3 linked regions of the Caenorhabditis elegans genome follow. The protein of the gene in region 2 interacts with the protein of the main gene of each other region in a pairwise test. Each region holds a gene or a part of one and is shown on either strand. Other genes may lie near its edges. The genes, in order: clec-28, rcan-1 and F44A2.7.

Region 1 (3,806 bases), on a different chromosome or scaffold from region 2:
ATTTTTTAAGGTAGAAAAGCAACTTTTGCAATGCCCATAAAGGCGTGGTTTCGAGGAGCCGGGATTTCAGCAGTAAGCCGGCGGCGGGTTTTTTTCGCTTTTTGCGTGCTGTAATTTTTATTTTTCCGTTTTCTGTTCTAAATTTTATTTCTTTTTTTAAGTGTTCAGATAGTTTTTAAATGGGAATAAACATGGATATTTCTGGGTAAAAACTTTGAAAACTGAGAGAATCTGGATGCTGAGTTTTTTTTTCTATTTCTGAAGTTCAGACTACGTCGGGTTCTGAAAATAACATGTGCAATATGAAACATTCAAAATTTAAAGGTTTATAAATTCAACACACAATTCCTGCCGGCCGTTTACAAAGAAACCATGAGGTTTCGGTGCATTCACCAAACTGTTCATGGTAAGGCTTCAAGGTTCGACTTATGCCCCTTTTAATGTTGTTAATTGAAGATGATAATAGTGATCACAATTACAACAATAATTGTTACGTACGCTACGATAAGTCGTCCACCATTGCTGATGCTCAGAAGTTCTGCAAAACAAAGCACGGCGGCAACCTCGTTTCAATCACTTCGGCCAATGAAAATCGTTACATTCAATCAATATACATTGGCGGTGGATATATTACACTTGGCGCAGTGGTTCCAAACTACAACGTCATATATTGGATGGACGGACCACCAGCGACATATAATATTCAACATTATACGAATGGAACTTGTCTGTTTTTGAATCTTTCATGGGAAGGCAGTGGTGATGACTGGCACACTGTCGAATGCGCCGATAAATCATGGTTTCTGTGTAAACGGCCTATAGGAATTGACTATTGGTAGAGATTGACTTTAGATAATGAATATTAACTGAAAACTGAACCATTTTGAATTTTCTGAATATCAATCTCATATATCGAATACTCATGAAAACAATAAATCATGAAATTAATAAGCGTATTTTTTTGAAATGAATACTTAATTAATAGTACGAGTGGAAGAGCACATTGATAAGAGAACACGATGGCATGGATTACTTACTGCTTATGAGTCAAATACGGCACATGAGCTCGGCCTGAAGGGTGGGTCCAAATTTCCGGAAATTGCTGAAATTTTTGGATTGCCTCACACTTTCGATAAAAAAGGAGATTCCCAATCTAAATTGATGTACTCGGAACAAAATATGTACATTGTATTCACGGTTGTTGTAGTTAGAGTCAATAGGTAATTTTGAATAAATTAATATACCGTATTTCCTCTATTAGTAAGTCATGCAAAACTAATTTTCGAACATGTTTTTTCTCATGTACGATGATATTATTTCGATTAATGAAATGATCGGAAGAGTTGATAAGAATATTAGTTCAATTGAAGGTGAAGTGGGGCCAGTGGAGAGAATGTTGACAATTACTCATATAGTGCAAAAATTCCTGTCACCTTAAAGTTTTTTAAAGTTTTTTTTTTTTTGAAATTACATCCAAACGGTGACAAAAAAAGACACGAATAAATTTTCACGGAAGCGATGATACACGAAGCAACCACTCGGTTCCAAAGAAATTAATCTTCTGTTTAAAGCACAACGTCAAGGATTATATTAAGAGAATTAACTTTTCTTATCACCACTCCTTCCACAAAGACAATTATTCATTTAATTTTGAGTTTTTGTTTGCAAAAAGTGTAATAATGTCCGATATTGACGAGATTCAAGAGCTTCAAGAACCATCTCAACCAAAAACTCAACCTTATTCCGAAAAATTTAAACTTTTCATGACAAATCATTGGAAAAATATATTGATTGGAGGATTAGCTGAAATCATAATAATCGTTTTTGCTTTTATGTTGACCTTTATTTTGGCGAAACAACCAGCATGTGAAACAGGTATTTAAATAGTTAAACTACAATAATATTTTTGCTTGTTTGTTAGGTATAGTAACGACTTCTATATTCCACACTAGTACTCTACCCAGCACATTGACATATGCCTCTTCTTCTTATTCTACAAAACCTGACAAGAGTTCTATTGCAACAAGTACTACCTTAAAACCGAAAACTTTGCCTGTTACGACAACATCAAATTCACTCTCAACACATACAAAACTTGGTGAGAGATACATAAATATTCCATTATTAATAAAATGAATTCAGACACAACATCAATTTCCGCAACTTTCGCTACTATGCCCACCCCGGGTAAGATTTTGGGTTTTATCAGTTACTCTAAAAAGACTTTACAAATTATTTTCCAGTTTCGGGAAATCTCACTTGCGCTTCTGGTTTTACTTACGTCGGCAACAAGTGCTGGAAGTTGGTCACTGTTCAGAAGAATAGAGCAGATGCCGACCAGGCTTGCTTCAGTCTAGGTGGATCCACACTTTTCTCGATCAGAAACGACCAGGTACGGAACACTCACAAGAATTTCCGTTTTTTAAATATTTTGAACAGGATAATCAAGCTGTGCTGGAATTTTTGAAAGATCAGCACGTTGAGAACCTTTGGACCGGATTAAACTGCGTCGGGATAAACCCGTTTACGTGTACCTGGGATGTCAAAAGCGGAACCACCTCCGCCTACAATAACTTTGCCGATGGTAGTGCTCAGAATTGTTGGAATATTCACAGAATGATTTTTAGGTTATCCGAATAACATGGCTGGAGGTTGCATTTATTACAAGACTACTGGAACGCAAGCCGGGCAATGGTCAAGTGGATCGTGTAATGAGATTATGAGTTTTGTGTGCGAGCTACCAGCAACCATTTACGGTGAGAATTAGAGAAATTACAAATTACACGTTTGATTTCAGATAGCACCTGCAAATACAACTACAACAACTATTGTTACACCCCATACGATCAGCTGCAAATCTCCAGCGATGCGCAGAGCATCTGCGCATCATCGGGTTCCAATTTGGCCACAATTCATTCTGCAAATGAAAACCGCTTTTTCATGGGCATCTTTCCTTCGTTTTCAATGATTGCACTTGGCGGAGTTGCTTTGTCAGGCGACAAGGTCATATGGTATGATGGAACACCTTCAACTTACACAAATATAAGAACGCTTACACGAGGGAACTGTATTCTGCTCTCAAATGATGTCGGACGCTGGGATGGTTACAAATGCATGATTGACAGAGCAAAGTTCATTTGCAAACGAAGAATTATAGGAAAATAATTAATATATTTGTTCAATAAATGTTTCACACAATACCCTATCATCTTGAAAAAAGTAGATAAATTTTTTAGGGGTTTCCCAAATAATAAATATATTAATTTATTCAAAATTAATTGTTAATTTTAACAACACAACAACCGTTTATTTTTTGCCGGATGCACCAATTTAGATTGGCGAGTGCGGCAATCCAAAAATTTTTTTGAAATATCCGGAAATTCGGACCCACCCTCGGTTCAGACCGAGGTCATGTGCCGTATTTGACTCATAAGCTGTAGTAAGTAATCCATGCCATCGTGTTCTCTTATCAATGTGCTCTTTCACTCGTACTATTAATTAAGTATTCATTTCAAAAAAATAAGCTTATTAATTTCATGATTTATTGTGATAATCATCATAGTCAGAAAATTCAAAATGGTTCAGTTTTAAGTTAATATTCGTTATCGAAAACCAATCACTGTGCATAATCAATTCCAATGGGCCATTTACACAGAAACCATGATTTATCAGTGCATTCGACAGTTTCCCAGAAATCACCACTGCCTCCCCATGAAAAATTCAAAAACAGACAAGTTCCATTCGTATAATATAGAATATTATTATATGTCGCTGGTGATCCATCCATCCAATATATGACGTTGTAG
Region 2 (4,390 bases):
TGGATCTAGTAATGAAATGGTTCTCTACTCATATGGAATTGGCTCAGTGTTCATTTTCGCATTTGTCGTGCTCTCCGGTGAAGTCTTCAGTGCAATTCCATTTTTCCTGGAGAACTCGTGGAAAACATTCGGCTACGCACTGATCCTCTCATGTCTTGGATATCTCGGTGTCAACGTTGTGCTCACTCATATCAAAGTGTTTGGAGCACTTGTTGCGGTTACTGTGACAACTCTTCGCAAGGCACTGACTATAATTCTGTCGTTCATGCTCTTCTCGAAGCCGTTCACCATCGAATATGTTTATGCGGGATCTGTGGTGATGCTGGCAATTTATTTGAATTTGTACAGCAAGAACAAGACGTCTTGGGATAATATGATAAGAAGATTCGTGGCGAGAGCAATGGGATATCATGATGTATCTGTTGCTAGGAAGGATCCAATGACGGTTTAGAACTTAAATATTAACGAATAACTTTTTATCAGGGCTCGGGTATATTATACTTGCTTTTTCCTTCTTTTCATGTGATATTGTCAGTTCTTTTAAATACAAATAATTTATTTGCATTATTTTCTTTTTTTTTCATTTTGAAGATTCATTCCATAAAAAGGAATATATAGTAAGTATTGGGTGGTAAACAATTTTTGGGATATATTTACAAAAACAAAATATCAGCAAAAATAAGTGGATTGTTGGATTAGGAAGAGACACGTCTACCCGCGGCAGAATAAGCTCTGCGGATTGAAGTTGAAACAAGGAAAAAATGAAAAAATTGGAGAAGAAGGAGTGCAACACAAATAGAATGAGGATGATTGTAAAGCTGGAAGAGAAAAATGAATAACAAGAAGAATGAGAAGGAAAGGGATATCCAAGATAATTACTGTTCACATGGAGATGAAGGGCGTGGAGTTCGTGGCATTTCAATTGCTGATGGTACGTCAATTGGGGTCTCGCATGGATGAACAATGATTGCTGGTGTCAGCTCGTCTCCATTGTGTACTTCATATCTGAATTTTGGATTTGAAAAAAATTGATTAAAATATTTCAATATTTAGTTTATTGTACTTTCGCGAAATTCTGGCACTTCAGTTTAAAGGCACACGCTTCTTCTGAGTGGGTCTCGCCAAGATCTACGTCATAGTGGTTGCTTCAGATGTCAAACTTTACAGAGATATGAATAATAATAAAAAAATTGAGCATGTAGCAACTATTACAAGAACATATAATTTTGGGAATGCGTTTTGCACAACTATTCAAAATATCTCGTAGCGAAAACTACAGTAATTCTTTAAATGACTACTATAGTGCTTGTGTCGATTTACTGGCTCGATTTTAAAACTAACTAAAATCATTGATTTAATGAAAGAATATTAAAATTGAGCAAAATAAGAATACGACGTTATTATACGACACACTATTCGAAAAGGAATTAATTTCAAAAATCGAGCTCGTAAATCGACACAAGTGCTACAGTAGTCATTTAAAAAAAAATACTGTAGTTTTCGCTACGAGATATTTTGCATATGTTGCGCAAAACGCATTCTCAAAATGTGGTGTTCCCGTAATAAGCGCTGTGTGATACAAAGTAGAAACAGTATTCCAGGCTTGCAAAACTCCAAACTTATAGACCCCTTTTTTCACATTTTTCAACTTTTGATAAACGTCATATAAACTTACTTTTCATCGATAGCAAATGACGCAAGTCTGGCCATTAAATCAAAATTGCATACAACCGGTGGCATATCTTTAGTCTGCTCCCATCCGACTGGTGGAGAACATGGTGGTGAAATTAAAAACTGTTTTTCGAGTGGTGGGGGGGAAAGCATTTGGGAATTGGCACTCATGTAGATCCTTTGTGCAAAAAAAGCTTTCAACTCGTGCCCTTTAAAAGAGAATCCTTGAACGATAAGTTTGGCGGCTGTAGCGTTTTCGGGGGAGCTGGAAACAAAACAAAAGTTATTGAAAATTGGCGGTTTCCTCTGACTCACCTGAAAATTACTCGAACTCGTCGGAAGCTGCGCAGGAAATCGAAATGAATGTCTTTCTCGATTTGTGTGAATAGAGATGAGAAGTTTGCCTTGTCTTGTTTATTATCGAATACCTATAAATAAAAGTTAAAAGTAGAGCCAATTTGAAATCAAAAGCTTACATCTTCTGGTACTTGAGTCACAATAATTGCATTTGGAAGATCATCTTTACTGGAAACAGTGCTGATCAATGATCCATTGGCAACGGATTTCGTTGATTTTTCCGAGTTATCAGCCACCATTTTTTGTTGTTAACTTATAGAAAAAATTTCAGCAACCACCGAGTTTGGGAGAAAAAGAAGAACTGAAGCCTGAAAAAAAGATTCATTTTTTCTATCTTCTTTTCATGGTGTGGGCGTTTCAAAACGGAAATCGGGTGCCGGAGGGCACAATTTAGACGAAAAAAAAATCACATGGATTCTGGAGCTTGAAAACTCTGAAAACACAACGTGATGACGGTGATGATGAAGATGGTCAAGAGAAAGGAAGAAAGAACAGTGGTCTCGAGAAGAAATATCCATAAAAAAAGCAGAAGGAAAGTGAGACGTAGACTGAATAAGATAGATTTTCCAGTAAACCAGTAGCCATGGCCATCAAGGGAATTTCAAATTTTTGGAACAAATGACTCATGGTGCATGAGTGTGGGTGGTTTAAAGCAAAAGAAAAAACATTTATTGTTCGGTTTTTCGACAAAAACAACAAATCTTTTAGTCCCCCCGTTCTGAATATAGAATTTTGAACAAAAACTCTTGGAATTTTTGAGGCGGGAAATTTGCTGTTTTTCTTATGCTTCCAAGTTCCTAGAGACGAAAAGTTCTTATAATAACGAAATAATCCAATTTTTGATTCAACATTTCGAAAATTATTCTCAATAATTGAGAATTATTATGAAATCTTGTAAAAATGAACCTTTTAGGGTATTCTCTTAATAATTAGCTTCAAAAATAACTTGAATCGTGGCGAGACCTACAATAAACGACAAAAGATTCGTGCAGAATGGGGTGGCCTGCCTCGTGCCAATATATATATATTCAGATACAATGTGTTCTCTTCTTCTGATCCGCACGGAAACCATCAAAAACTGGACCGGGAAGCGGACAGAAATGATGTCAATGTTTGTTCACGTGGTCGGTGAAACTGAACATTGGATTATTTCTGTGTGACGTGGAGGGATGGAACACGAAATGGCAGAAATTATAATTGCAAAGATACATCTATTTTTGATGCAGAAAGGGTCCTACCACGATCAAAATTTTTAGAAAATCAGTGTGTGCTTTTGAAAAGATACGGCAACTTTTCTTAAATTCACCAAATTGGTTTAAAATTCCGAGAAACCAAGGACTAGAAATTCGTAAAATATGAGACAATACTCTGATATTAGACGCACCAAAATTCAAAAAGCGAAAAAAAGCCCACAAAAATTTCCATAATCTCCCCCAGGCGCAGCAGAGCGCTGACGCAGTTTCATCAGAAATTTGAATACAATTCGAGCTGGGAGAAACAGCAAGACTAAAAAAAGAAAAACGATCAAGAGGTTAAGCCTCTGAACTCTGCGAGCAGCCGAGTGGAATGAAAATCGGTCAGAGGTTTAGGAATGACATCCATTCACATAAGACGTATGGAGATTGTTCGAAAAGAGTACAAAACGCTCAGTTTTGGGAATCACACTTCACTTGTGGACCACGATTCCCTTGGAGAAGCCTTTCGTTTTAAAAAATGGACAACTGCAACAACATTTTGTAACTAGAAATTCAAATTTTTATCTTTAGAGCGAAATTGAAATTGATAGAGAATCGATTCTAAACTCAAGAAAAAACATGTCTAAAAACAGAACCTTATGACAAAAATAGGAGATGAAATGAACCACGAGTGAGAGAAGTAGGAAAACACGTGCATTTACACAGATATTTTGATGCTCGCGGAGCAGTAAAAGAAGAAGAAAAAAACACGAGAGAAACGAAACAAGGAGGTGTTGAATTTGACACATTATCACTGTTTTGTAGCTCTGGAATTCTATGAAATGTTTTTGAAATTTGTTTTGATTTTTGAAAAAAAAACAGGAGTTAAGGTACTGTTCCGGAAGATTTATCAAGAGTTATTTTCGAAACTAAAGTTACCGTAAAAAATAATACTGATTTAGTAAACAATTTTTGTTGTGTAATTCGGTCAATTTACAAAAGTATTTCGCAAATATTTGATCAATGTCCTTGATCTAAAATAGTTTATTTGATCTGCTGATTTGATTTTTTCGTTCAAAACTAAAAAATCAAAATCACAAGTACTATCCGATCTGCTGTTTTTTGTTGCAAAATGCACGGAACCTATCACAGTTAAAAAAATGTGTGAACGCTTATTTTGTTAATGA
Region 3 (3,950 bases), on a different chromosome or scaffold from region 2:
GTTTTTCGCCGGCGCTGATCCCGTCGCTCGACTTCCACGGCGGACCATTTTCGAGTGTGTCACTCGTCCCGTGGGAGGTACTTCTAATATCTGTGGTCTGAAATTAAAATATAGTATTTAAAAGTGGGCATCATTTATTAATTTACCTGTGCGCCAAAGGGTTCTTTGCTAACCCAGATTTTACAAGAAATTACTGGACAAGAGGTATCAGTTAGTCTTCTTGTGAAATTCTGAAATAGAAACAATGAATATTTAAAGAAAATAATTAAAAAGAAAAGTAAAACGTCAACCTTTTGAAGTTTAAACTTTTATGAATCCTAAAAAAATGTGGCGCGCAATGAATGAATGTTCTGTTTGCCGCAAGTTTGCGTGGGATACGGTATCCCGCGTATTACAGACGAAACATCATAACTGCCGAGCTAATTTTATATCGTTTCTGAAATTAAAGTATAATTCATGAATAGCAAGAAGGCAGATTAAAAATGCCTTATTTAAAATTATATATTCACAAAATATTTATTTCAAATCAAACATAACCATGCGCACAATGACGAATACCAAAAACCTTCTTCTCATCAGTTTTGATGATTTTTTGAGTGAATTGACTTCTACAGAACTCTTTTGTTACAAAAACACCGTCACAGAATGGGGTTAAAACGAATGGAATAGCTAAATTTGTGGAAGGATATATCGTAGAGAGACTTTTAAACGTTGAGAATTCGAAAGAGTTTAAAATTGATTTGAGGATCATAGCAGCGATTTCTGGGCAATCGGAATATAGAGGTGAGATGGTGAGACGATTGAGCGATACTTCACGGATAGCTCCGAAACCCACACAGTTGCCGTTTGAATCTACAGCCATCTAAAATTAAAACATTTGAAGAATTAAAGAAGGGAATACATACTTTTGAATGTACTCCACAAGCCATTAACCAAGTGTTAATAACTTTAGTTCTGCTCATCTTACAAATTCCTTTATCGTATTCCGATACACTATCGTACTTCAAATCTTCCACAGTTACCCCATCAACTTCTTTGATTCCTGATGGAATTTTCAAATTTTCAATTTGTATTACTGCTGAGCAATGAAAGTATGGGCTCAACTCTTTGAACCCATAGCGTTTTTCATACCACTGCCACATTGTTCCAACTCCAAAAAGAAAGCAATTATGATCTCCATAGATTGATTGTATTTTGTCAAAAAGATACTTTCCAAATGATCGATTACGGAAATCGACAAGGCAATAGAAAAATGCAACCGTAAATAGAGGTGTCCCATCCTGAAGATCACTTCTAGCTAGGGATACTGAAGCTACGTACCGGTCGGTTCCTATAAAAATAATTAATTTTTTTAATCTTGCAATAGGTTGGTAGGTATGCATGTAAGCAGTCAGCTGTGAGCTTGGCACCTAGGCTGACACGTAGGAGCATAGTTATGGGAAAAGGAAGAGATAGTGGCGCGAGTGCTAAACGCTAAAGCTGACAACACTAAGATTGTGCATTAAATTTTAAAAAGCGAGCAGTCAGTTTTTTTTGATCGTAGAAGTTGGATAAATTACCTTTTTGTTGAATCATGACCATCCAGTGCTTGGAATAATTATTTTTCCATATGTCGTAGTCATTTTCCTAAAAGATCACATAAAGTGATTAAAGATTATTTTGTGATTTTCCTTGCATACTGTCCAAATTATAGTGAACGAAAATAAAATATTTTGTCGGTTAACAAAGTTTTTGAAAAGATTGAGGTGATAATAAAAATTTGGAACTGATGGGTGAAATAAGTTAGGCAAGTTATAAAGACATCTAAGTTCATACCTGAAATGCCCATCCTTCAGTAGTAGATACTAGATGCACAAACTCTTTGAATACATCATTTGGTGGATTGTAGGTCAAAATGAATTCATCGTCAATTATATCAACTTCTGTCATATTTATTTATCTGAAACTCAATTCGTAAGAAAACTTTGCGTACATGTTGAGAACAACGTCGGTGCAAAACTGGGAAGCGAAATGGAAGGGTCTCCTTATCGTTTTTCGCGACTTTTAGTCTGATGAAAAAAAAAAAAAAAAAAATTAATTACAAGTTTAGTATGATCGTTTTTATCAGTAAAAAAGGATGAAGAAACGGTACGGGGGTCGGTACAGATAATTTATTATTGTTTGAAAAATGTGAAAACGATGGAGTTCAGAAATTGAAGAAATCGGAAATCGAGTGGACATTAACCCAAAGGTACCTAACCAGAAAATGAGAAGAGATCTATGGAGATTCTAGAGTGGCAAGTTTTTGACACCAATAATAGGAATATCAGAAAAGGGTTCAATTTGCTTTGAATTTTAGAATAATTCGCACAATTTCAGCACTAATGAAATGTCCTAAAATTCAAATTCTCTGACAAACCTAAACAATTAATGAAAGAAATAAGGAACATTTTTGGAGACAAAAAACTGGGACAAAATCGAACCCGTTTGGTGTATATTTACAAATAAAAGGGGTAAATTAAAAACAAGAAGGAGAAAAATGATTGATAAGATAAATAATAATATTAACAATCAGAATCCAACATATCGTTTGCTCTTCTTTTTCACTGGTTGGGCAGCCGGTGCTCCATTATTCAATGGGTGTACAGTCCGATGCACAATCATGTGCCCTTGTTCTTCGTCTCCATCTCCACCGCTCCACCCTCCTGTCGATTCAGCAAATTTGTCGATTATCATTGAAATTGGGAATGCGAGCACAATGATTCCACACACTGAGGCCAAAGCAGCAACCACTTTTCCTCCAGCAGTTATAGGCACCAAATCACCATAGCCAACTGTGGTCATTGTTATGACACCTGAAAATAATTATATTAGTTTAAGAATAGGAAGCCCACGAGTAGTCATGGTACCGCATCTTGGTCTAACTTCTGGAATCCGTGGCACCACGTGTTTTTGCAAGATGGAAGTCACTACAGTTTTTTCAAATGAAGTATACAACAAAACGATTGTGAAGTCAAACTCACAAATCCACGTATTGGCACGGCTTTCAGAGGTTAAATCTAGATGAAAGCACTAACCGAACACTTCATAAACTTTTGAAATTTGCATTATTCTAGCAAAATTTCATTGTACTCTGCAGCCATAATCAAAATCCCATTAAAAAATTCACATAAAACAATTTCAGTCAAACTTTTGGTAAGTTACCAAAAATTTTGAGAAATTCGGCATTTTTGTGAAATGTACTGCAATTTTGCATTTTCGGATCTATATCATGTTTAGATACAAATAATCAAAAGATAAATATTTACCTATAAAATTTTTAAAATTGAATTTTGCAACTAAAAAAAAAAGAAAATAACATCAACACTTAAACTACATGTTTGGCATAATCTAAAATAGGAGTTGTATATTCATATTCAACTATAGTCATTTTTCCTAAATCCTTAAAATTTATTTTTGATGTTTCTGAAATGAGTTGCCCATCCGACGTAATTTCAAAATCAAGTAAAACAGTCTATCATACTAAATATATCATTTCACACTATGATTATCATAATATCTTATCTTTTGCAAAATAACAGTAAAGGTTTCAGACTTCAACCTTTTTATCAGTTTTAAAATTCAACGAAACACCAAGTATGTTTTCCATAATTTAGAAATTTCGAATAACATCGCTCCATTAATTGTTTGAAGTTTTCAAAGAACTTACACCACCAGCAGGCTGCTGGAATACTGTAGAACTTGGAGTTGGGCTCATCTCGCTCGAAGAAATAAATTGCAGTTGAGAACAGCATGATTCCTGTTAAATTTCAAGCATCAACATTTCATTCATTTTCACGGGTTAAAATTCATTTTCGTTTTTTCTGTTTTACAGTTTTCTAGCATACGAACAATAAAAAATTGACTCAGAGGAATTAGCTATAGCTGGATGTTCATATTTTTGGTATTAGCTGCAGCTTTACAACTTTGAA

What was found.
Region 1: the proteins of rcan-1 (region 2) and clec-28 interact in a two-hybrid assay, tested with the Caenorhabditis elegans proteins (one large-scale study listed by BioGRID).
Region 3: the proteins of rcan-1 (region 2) and F44A2.7 interact in a two-hybrid assay, tested with the Caenorhabditis elegans proteins (one large-scale study listed by BioGRID).

The regions. Positions count from the first base shown.
Region 1 is NC_003283.11:16,864,062-16,867,867, forward strand, and holds clec-28 (C-type lectin domain-containing protein), read left to right. Parts: upstream 1-1,642; 5' UTR 1,643-1,679; coding exon 1,680-1,875; intron 1,876-1,921; coding exon 1,922-2,098; intron 2,099-2,142; coding exon 2,143-2,187; intron 2,188-2,243; coding exon 2,244-2,392; intron 2,393-2,439; coding exon 2,440-2,584; intron 2,585-2,627; coding exon 2,628-2,756; intron 2,757-2,797; coding exon 2,798-3,165; 3' UTR 3,166-3,232; downstream 3,233-3,806. Other genes in the region: clec-33 (C-type lectin domain-containing protein), read right to left, coding at 3,617-3,806.
Region 2 is NC_003281.10:5,681,763-5,686,152, forward strand, and holds rcan-1 (Calcipressin-like protein), read right to left. Parts: upstream 2,337-4,390; 5' UTR 2,268-2,336; coding exon 2,148-2,267; intron 2,100-2,147; coding exon 1,987-2,099; intron 1,937-1,986; coding exon 1,676-1,936; intron 1,006-1,675; coding exon 876-1,005; 3' UTR 540-875; downstream 1-539. Other genes in the region: pst-2 (Adenosine 3'-phospho 5'-phosphosulfate transporter 2), read left to right, coding at 1-451. UniProt on the Caenorhabditis elegans protein: Inhibits tax-6/calcineurin A phosphatase activity and thereby negatively regulates calcineurin-mediated functions.
Region 3 is NC_003283.11:9,319,482-9,323,431, reverse strand, and holds F44A2.7 (N-acetyltransferase domain-containing protein), read right to left. Parts: upstream 1,948-3,950; 5' UTR 1,930-1,947; coding exon 1,816-1,929; intron 1,627-1,815; coding exon 1,560-1,626; intron 1,331-1,559; coding exon 906-1,330; intron 863-905; coding exon 527-862; 3' UTR 503-526; downstream 1-502. Other genes in the region: ntl-2.2 (NOT2/NOT3/NOT5 C-terminal domain-containing protein), read right to left, coding at 1-48; kvs-3 (BTB domain-containing protein), read right to left, coding at 2,551-2,834, 3,689-3,778.